Arabidopsis thaliana: one gene and its partner. The protein of the gene in region 1 interacts with the protein of each later gene in a pairwise test. Each region holds a gene or a part of one and is shown on either strand. Other genes may lie near its edges.

Evidence for each region.
Region 2: the proteins of CB5-D (region 1) and SIP2;1 interact in a two-hybrid assay, tested with the Arabidopsis thaliana proteins (one large-scale study listed by BioGRID).

The regions. Positions count from the first base shown.
Region 1 is NC_003076.8:19,788,256-19,792,148, reverse strand, and holds CB5-D (cytochrome B5), read left to right. Parts: upstream 1-1,776; 5' UTR 1,777-1,968; coding exon 1,969-2,055; exon of another isoform or gene 2,056-2,490; coding exon 2,491-2,557; intron 2,558-2,631; coding exon 2,632-2,900; 3' UTR 2,901-3,082; downstream 3,083-3,893. Other genes in the region: AT5G48800 (Phototropic-responsive NPH3 family protein), read right to left, coding at 3,146-3,691, 3,762-3,893. UniProt on the Arabidopsis thaliana protein: Membrane bound hemoprotein which function as an electron carrier for several membrane bound oxygenases, including fatty acid desaturases.
Region 2 is NC_003074.8:21,077,797-21,082,005, reverse strand, and holds SIP2;1 (small and basic intrinsic protein 2;1), read left to right. Parts: upstream 1-2,149; 5' UTR 2,150-2,361; coding exon 2,362-2,649; exon of another isoform or gene 2,650-2,831; intron 2,832-2,906; coding exon 2,907-3,167; intron 3,168-3,255; coding exon 3,256-3,416; coding exon of another isoform or gene 3,417-3,420; exon of another isoform or gene 3,421-3,522; coding exon 3,523-3,595; 3' UTR 3,596-3,709; downstream 3,710-4,209. Other genes in the region: PIP5K4 (phosphatidyl inositol monophosphate 5 kinase 4), read right to left, coding at 1-1,049; CRD1 (dicarboxylate diiron protein, putative (Crd1)), read right to left, coding at 3,737-4,000, 4,080-4,178. UniProt on the Arabidopsis thaliana protein: Water channel required to facilitate the transport of water across cell membrane. Inactive in yeast cells.

The DNA of each region.
Region 1 (3,893 bases):
GACGCACGTGAATGTGTGTGTAAATACTTTGACGTTTACATTGAAATACTGTAATGTAAGTTCAGAGTTAAAAGTACAAACACAAAGGTGAATTTTGTACTAATTAGTAAAGAGATAAGAGTGTTTTGAATCTTGAATATCAAATTATTATTAACAAGAAACTGACAAAAAGATGAGACAGTGTTCATTGAGAAGATCTCTGTTGTTTTATCTTTTTTTTTACATTTCTTGGAAATTGGCAAAACCAGTGTGATGAAACTGTGAAATCTTATCTCGAACCCAATCATTGTTCTATGTTTTTCTTTAATCTCTAAAAGTGAAAAAGTGAATGCATGAAACGTTCAGATACATTCATTATATTATACATTTATACATATGGACATGGTGTACGTATGTACACGGGTGCTTGTTTGATCACGGGCTCACTGACTATAAAAATCATGTTTTTTGGGACATATAGATTCGCTTACATCAACTGTGTGACCAATGGGGTATCTGAATTCAGCTTGTTCGATGTTTTGTTTGACTCTTTTAAACTATTTGGTAGTAAAAAGCCAAAAAGGAAGAGCACTGATTACGAAAGCCTTTTTGTCTTTTTGTTTCTTCTTCTCTAGCTCTCTTTCGTTCTCCTTTTGGGTTAGTCCTTCAAAATAAATGTCTTTAACTTGTCATGTATAGTTTCTTTCTCTCGTTGAACACCAACCATAGGCCTTGCAATGTGAGTCAAAACATGCATTGAAAAAAGAAGTGAATTTCAACATTAAATGCTCTCGTTTAACATGCCTATGGTTCCATTAAGCAAAGTACACACTCTATATATGTCGAAAGAACTATACAGTCGGTGTTTTAGCCCTATAGTTAGATACATTCGAACTGATTACAGAAATATCAAATATCCAGTTCTAAGATCGGATTAAGGCAAATACATTTAAACTACTTCTAGCGAATGAGGTTCACATAGAAAAACTTTTTAAAATGAATCACTAAACAAGATTCATTTTCTTTCTAAATAGTGTAAAGACGAGTGATGCATGCAACTGCTCTCCTTTCCGTTGGTCCCTTGTCAAAATATACGACCGTGAATAATTCTTCCCATCATATTTATCTGTCGGAGAGTTCCAACCTCAAAACATTCTCCTTCTCTTATCAATTCTTTCTAAAATCATAAACCAACAAACTGGGCCTATGATCAATTATTCATATTCAATTTAGCCTATAACTAAAACCACACTGCTTTCGTTACACTGGCCTTCCGACAAGTCTCTTTGACTGTTTTTATCTTAAGCGCCATCAAGTTTTAAAGAAGACAACCCCATATCTTTCCTCCCATGAATCATCGTGTCCATATTGCTATAGTTCATGAAAAAACTAAATACTATCGACAACTGAAGAAAAGATCCGGATCTTGTGGACCGAGTGAATGGTTGGGCCCAATTAGAATGGTCTACCCTAACATCTAGCCGTCTACACGATTGATCATACGTCTAAGAGGGCGAAACCACCAAACGTTTGGATTTTATCTAAATTGATGTACATAAAGCTAACATGATTTTAGTATAAACATTATAAGCATCATGGAAATCAATAAGCTAACATGATTTTAGTAGAAACATTATCAGCTAACATGAATTACTAAAAACATTTATTTTATTTTAAGGAAAAACATACAATACTAAGATTTTTTATAACATTTTTTCTTTGTAACATTATAAATTGTTTTAGTTTCTACATTAATTAAATATATAAAATAAATTCATTTAAATAATATAAGAAAACGGAATCTTTGATTAACTGCTGATTATTGGCCACTGATTAATTTCCGACCCCATCAATAGATGAGATCAGACATACACAACTTAAGTAGACCAAAAAAGCGGTTGGTGTAAGATCCCAAACTCACAGATTCCCAAATAATAGTAATACTCTTCCTCTTCTCAACTCTCACCAGTCACCAGCAGATCATCGGAGATGGGCGGAGACGGAAAAGTTTTCACCTTGTCCGAGGTTTCTCAGCACAGTAGCGCCAAGGATTGTTGGATCGTCATCGACGGCAAGGTCCTACATCTCCGATCCCAGTTTCTCATTCGATTTTCCGTTTTCCCTTAGATTTTGCATCTTATCTTCGTGAGATCCGAAATTCTTGAGTTGTGTTGACTTGGATTTATAAATCTAGAGTTATGTAGTAACAAGTTTGGGGATAGATCTGATCTGATTTGCTAGATTAATGTTACTTTTCTAAGTCTAAATCACAGAGAAATTGCTAAAAACTTACGTCTTTATAATTGAATGTGATAGTTGGTGCTGCTTAAGATGTCTCTGTGTGATCTTGTATCTGTAGTTAAAGCTAGTAAGGTTCATGTAGTTCATGTATGTTCTGATGTATGAACTTTTGATAACCCACTTAATCTAGGTCTCTGATTGTGTGGAATTAGGGACTTATATGACAAAGTTTACATTTTTTGTGTGTTTCATTTTGATGGTTATATATAGGTTTATGATGTGACAAAGTTCTTGGATGATCATCCTGGTGGTGATGAGGTTATCTTGACTTCTACAGGTAACATATAGAGATCACTTTCTCTGTTTGTTAGTTCATGTTTATGTTAACAAGAATGTGTTGTTGGTATTCAGGGAAAGATGCGACCGATGATTTCGAGGATGTGGGACATAGTTCGACTGCGAAAGCCATGCTAGATGAGTACTATGTGGGTGATATTGACACAGCTACTGTGCCGGTTAAAGCTAAGTTTGTGCCTCCTACGTCGACGAAAGCCGTGGCTACTCAGGATAAGAGCTCGGATTTTGTTATTAAGCTCCTTCAGTTCCTTGTTCCACTTCTAATCTTAGGCTTGGCTTTCGGCATTCGGTACTACACTAAGACCAAGGCTCCTTCTTCTTGAAAGATTGAATTGTGGCCTAAGTGAATTGCTTGTGTACGACGTGGTTAAACTCTGTCTCTACCTCTGTTTGTCTTGTAAGACATCATTATATTCTCTATTCCAATCAACTGATAGACCTTTGATTTTTAAGCCATCTACCTTTGTTGTCTTATATCAATCAAATCCATTTACAATATCACTCACACACCAGTCTCAAGTCTCACTTAAAAAGCAGCAACAGGTAAGAGAAAATGATAAACACTGAGCTAATCTGTGCTTGCGCAAGTTCTCTCCATCAGTACCTTTGAATCTGTTCTGAAAGACTGCTTTGATGGAGAGCTTGATCCTCTTGAAGAGCTATGCCCAAAGAAGCTAAGTTTCCCCATTTTCTTTGAGAAACTGCTCATGAATTTGCGCGAATGAGACCTCTGCATATCTCTCTTCATACATATATGTTCTTTCTCTAGGTCGTTGAGTCTCATTCTCAACCTAGCTAACTCGAGCTTCAGTTCTCGGTTTTCTCTCCTCAGAGACGCATAGTTGTCTTTGGGGGACATTGTTGCACTGAGAGCTCCGCTATTGATTCTCCATGACTGCTGTTGTTGCTGCTTTGGCTTTGGCTCTTCGTCTGAGTAAGAAGAGCACAAGGAGCTTCGAAGCTTGAGTTGCTCAAAGTAGAGAACTTGAACTATGGATTGCAGAGGAAGCCGCTCGTTTTGTGCAGCGTGTGCTCCAGCTTCTTGTGAGAGTTTCTGGAAGTCAATAAGTTTTGATAGTTTCTTCTTGTCTGAATCTGATAACCCTTGATGTGCCTAAGAGCATAAAACCTAATAAGTATCAAGTCACAACAAGAGTAAGTAAAATTTTCTTGTAGCAACATACCTTAAGATAGAGATCAATGGCGCGGTATAAACCATCGTGAAGGGTGCGAGCATGAGGCGGTAAGGCTTCTGCGATAAGCAAGAACTTAGAAAGGTCAAGGTTAGCATCGGGAGCTATCTCAGCAAGATAACT
Region 2 (4,209 bases), on another chromosome or scaffold:
TCAGCATCCAAGTCCCTCCTCGTGGTGGAATCAATATCAGCAGCACCTTCTCCGCTTTCGGTTCCCCACATATTCATCTTCTCAAACGCTCTATCTACACCCACACTTACCCTCCCGTCAACAGACATCCTCCTCGGTTTCTCGACACGTTTGGAAGAGTTCCAAACAGATAGCTTTTTCTGTGAAGGCAACACAGGAACTCTCTCTCCGCTGCAGATCTTGTACTCACTCAGATTAGTAAACACGTCTTTAGGATCCCATTCAGGACTCCCGTCGTCTCCTGATGGATAATAAGTACCGTTCATCTCTTCCGGATCATTAGACCAATGACCAACGTAGAAACTCCCATCAGCCCATTTGAAAGTACCGTTTCCTCTAGGAAAACCGTCATCCCAAAATCCGTCGTATCTATTCCCATCCGTCCAAATAAAAGTACCTTTGCCACAGATCGTAGCGTTCTTCCATTCCCCCATGTAATAGCTCCCATCTCTCCACTGATACTTTCCTTGGGCTTCTTGCAAACCCCTCCTCCATTCACCATCATACACATCTCCATTCGCGAAACGCTTGATTCCATGTCCATGTTTCAGGTTCATCACCCACTGACCTTTATAAGTATCTCCACTAGGACCTGTGTAAAGGCCAACACCATCCATGTATCCACTTTTGAATTCGCCTTCATATGTGGCACCAGAAGGCCACCCGAACTTCCCTCTTCCCATAGTCTTCCCGTTGTACCAGTCACCAATGTACATGCAACCATCTGTCCAAAGATACTTCCCATGCCCGTGAGGAAAACTATCATACCATTGCCCTGTATAATAGTCTCCATTAGGAAGTATTCTCTCTGCATGGTACAATTCCCCTATGCTGCTTCTGTTAGTGCTGGTCTCATCATCATTCTCCTCAGTCGTAGTAGTAGCATCATCATCTGTCTGTGGAGCTACAGATACCGTCCCAAAAATGCTGTTTGCACGCTTCTTCGCTTGTTGGGTCTTTCTTACGGTCACCTCCCAAGCCTTTAGAACACAGCTTTGTTCCTTGCTCATCTTCTTAAACTAATAAAACTTTTCTCTAAGATACCTATATGTATATCCTAGAACATAAACTCAGAAAACATATTTGTTCTTGTCTAAACAACAATCCTATCAATGTACACATACACAAGAGAAAACCATGAACTCTGTGCAAAAGAAAAAACAAAGTGTAAACCTAAAACCATTAAATCAAACGCAGCATGAAGAAATCTGCAATGGTCTTTACTCTGTGACTTCCTGTCTCTATGCCATTGAATCACAAGAAAAAAGAATGTTTTTTGGTCTTTTAGAATGCAACATTTTCGGAGTGAAAGCTGATATGAACAATCATGGAAACCTAACAAAGAATCAGAGAGAGAGAAAAACCAATGGCCAAAAGAGTTAAGGGATCAAAAAAATTCTCTCCGACATTTCATCTTTTCTTGTCAATTCATCTTAACTAATTATGTCGTTCAAAGAAGAAACCGTTCATCTCCTCAAACCAATGAAAGCCTTCAAATTTAGAGAAACAAGCATGACCCATTTTTCTCTATTCTTAGCATCTCCGAGCTTTCCTCTCATAAACAAACATATTTTCTTCAGAACAAAAAAAATCGGAAAAAGTAATAATTAATCAATTTAGCCAAGACTGATAACGTCTCCAATCTGAGATCACTAAGAGCTATAATCAAAAACAGAGGTAACTGAAACTCTAACTCACTGAGGCATTCTGTCGAACACTTTAAACGCATTGCTTCTCCACTAACAAGTCACATTTTTCCGTATATTCACAACTTATTTTCAAAAGGAAAGATCCATTCCCAATGCTGAAGCTTCAAACACCATAAACGATAGAAGAGAGACAAAAGTTACAACCCAAAGCCAAGCGTGTAAAGATCAAAAGGTCATATTTTTCCTGAGGGGAAACTTCCGTCGCAGGTTAAAATTGGAGGGCTTTTTTGTAAACAATTCTTAAGAAGGCTAATTGTAGTAATTTATTTGTAATTATTAGTTAACTGTGTAAAGTAAATACTTTATCCAGTAATAACGTATCACTTTAGTTGATGTCTATTGGTTAATAGCCGAAGCTCGTTCCAAAATCGAAGAGAATCTATAATCTCATCACGACACACCAAAGCCAAAACCTTTATTGTCGGAAGCTGACTCAGACTCAAACAATGTCTCTAGCGTCAATTATATGCTAAATTCACCAGCCGCTTAGAGCCAATCATATAATCTCGATTCTCTTCAACGGTCCTCAATTATCCTAAATTCAGATCATAAAAACGCTAACTTTTAATTTCTTTCTTTCTGAGAAATTGGTTCTCATCGTTGGAATCGAAAAATGGGACGAATCGGTTTAGTAGTGACTGATCTGGTATTGTCGTTCATGTGGATATGGGCAGGAGTTCTGGTCAACATTTTAGTCCATGGAGTTCTTGGATTTAGCCGGACCGATCCTTCCGGTGAGATCGTTCGTTATCTCTTCTCTATCATCTCCATGTTCATCTTCGCCTACCTTCAACAAGCCACCAAAGGCGGGCTTTATAATCCTTTGACCGCTTTGGCTGCTGGAGTCTCCGGTGGCTTCAGCAGTTTCATCTTCTCCGTCTTCGTTCGAATCCCCGTCGAGGTTTGTTTCGTTGACTTTTTTTGGTTTAATTGAAATTGACTCTTCGTTAGAGAGAGGTCTCAGGGTTTGTGTAATGTTGTAAAATGTCAAATTAGAGAAAAAAAAGGAGAATTTAGCTGATGGGTTCTTCTTTGAAAACCAGATCATTTTGGTTATATGCTCTATTGTTTTATAAAGACTTCATCTTGAAGATCTTTTGCTCTAATGTGTAATCAAAGATGATACTATTGTGAAACTCTGGTTTTGTGTTATTTCAGGTAATAGGATCAATTCTTGCGGTTAAGCATATCATTCACGTATTCCCTGAGATTGGGAAAGGACCTAAACTAAATGTAGCAATTCACCACGGTGCTTTAACAGAAGGGATACTAACATTCTTCATTGTACTGCTCTCAATGGGACTAACAAGAAAAATCCCGGGAAGTTTCTTCATGAAGACTTGGATCGGTAGTCTTGCTAAGTTAACTCTTCATATTCTTGGCTCTGATCTTACCGGTGGATGCATGAACCCTGCAGCTGTATGTACCAAAAAAAAGTCTTGTGATTGTGATTTCAGCAAATAGCGATCTTTGTTTTGAATGTTTGCTTTTGTGTGAATCTTTGCAGGTTATGGGATGGGCTTATGCACGCGGTGAACATATAACGAAAGAGCATTTACTTGTGTATTGGCTTGGACCTGTGAAGGCTACGTTGCTTGCAGTTTGGTTCTTCAAAGTTGTGTTTAAGCCTCTCACCGAAGAACAAGAGAAACCTAAGGCCAAATCTGAGTGAGGAATGAGGAATGAGCTCAGCTTTCATATTTAATCCTCTCTGGATAAATCTCCTTTACACAAGACACAGAGGGTAGGATTGTTTCCAGGGATATTTTCGTAGATTTTGTAATGTGTTTTTTTTTTATGTTGCAAACTCAACTGTATCAACCAGTTCAATAAAATCTGAAATTTAAGTAAGTCCAATGCGCAATATGATCAAATATATGCAGTAAAAGTTTATTGCAAAAAAAAAAAGACGATGTTTCTCAGTTTCGATCATTCAATTACAAGAAATCAAGAACCAGCCGTAAACTCAAGACTTGACATTGCAGCTACTAATAGACAAGATTAGGCTCAAACTCGGCGAAATCAACAGAGCCAGACTCAACAGGAGGCATGAGATAAGCAGCCAAGATCTCAGAGGCTAAAGAAGTAACCAAAGGAATCCTCTTGAGGGTCTTGATGAAGGAAGCATCATCTGTTTCTCCTATAGCCAGCAGCTTCTCATAGCTCACAACCATTCTATCCAGTTTCCTCTTGAACTCAGGGTTCTCAACATCCAGCACCGCAGGGAATATTCTTGCCGTGGTTCGGTTTGTCTGAAACAAATCTCAACATTTTCAGAAAAAGGAACATAACACAGGTTAATATTAATCTTCTTGTTTCAAGTTCCTTTACCTCGATGATGACATGCATATCGAACTCCTTTGTGTTTAACCCGATACCCTCGTAGAAATTAGTTCTTTGGCAGTCATTGAGGTACATTGTCACATAAACCTGTAAAGCCAATCCTCTTACTGGTTAGGCC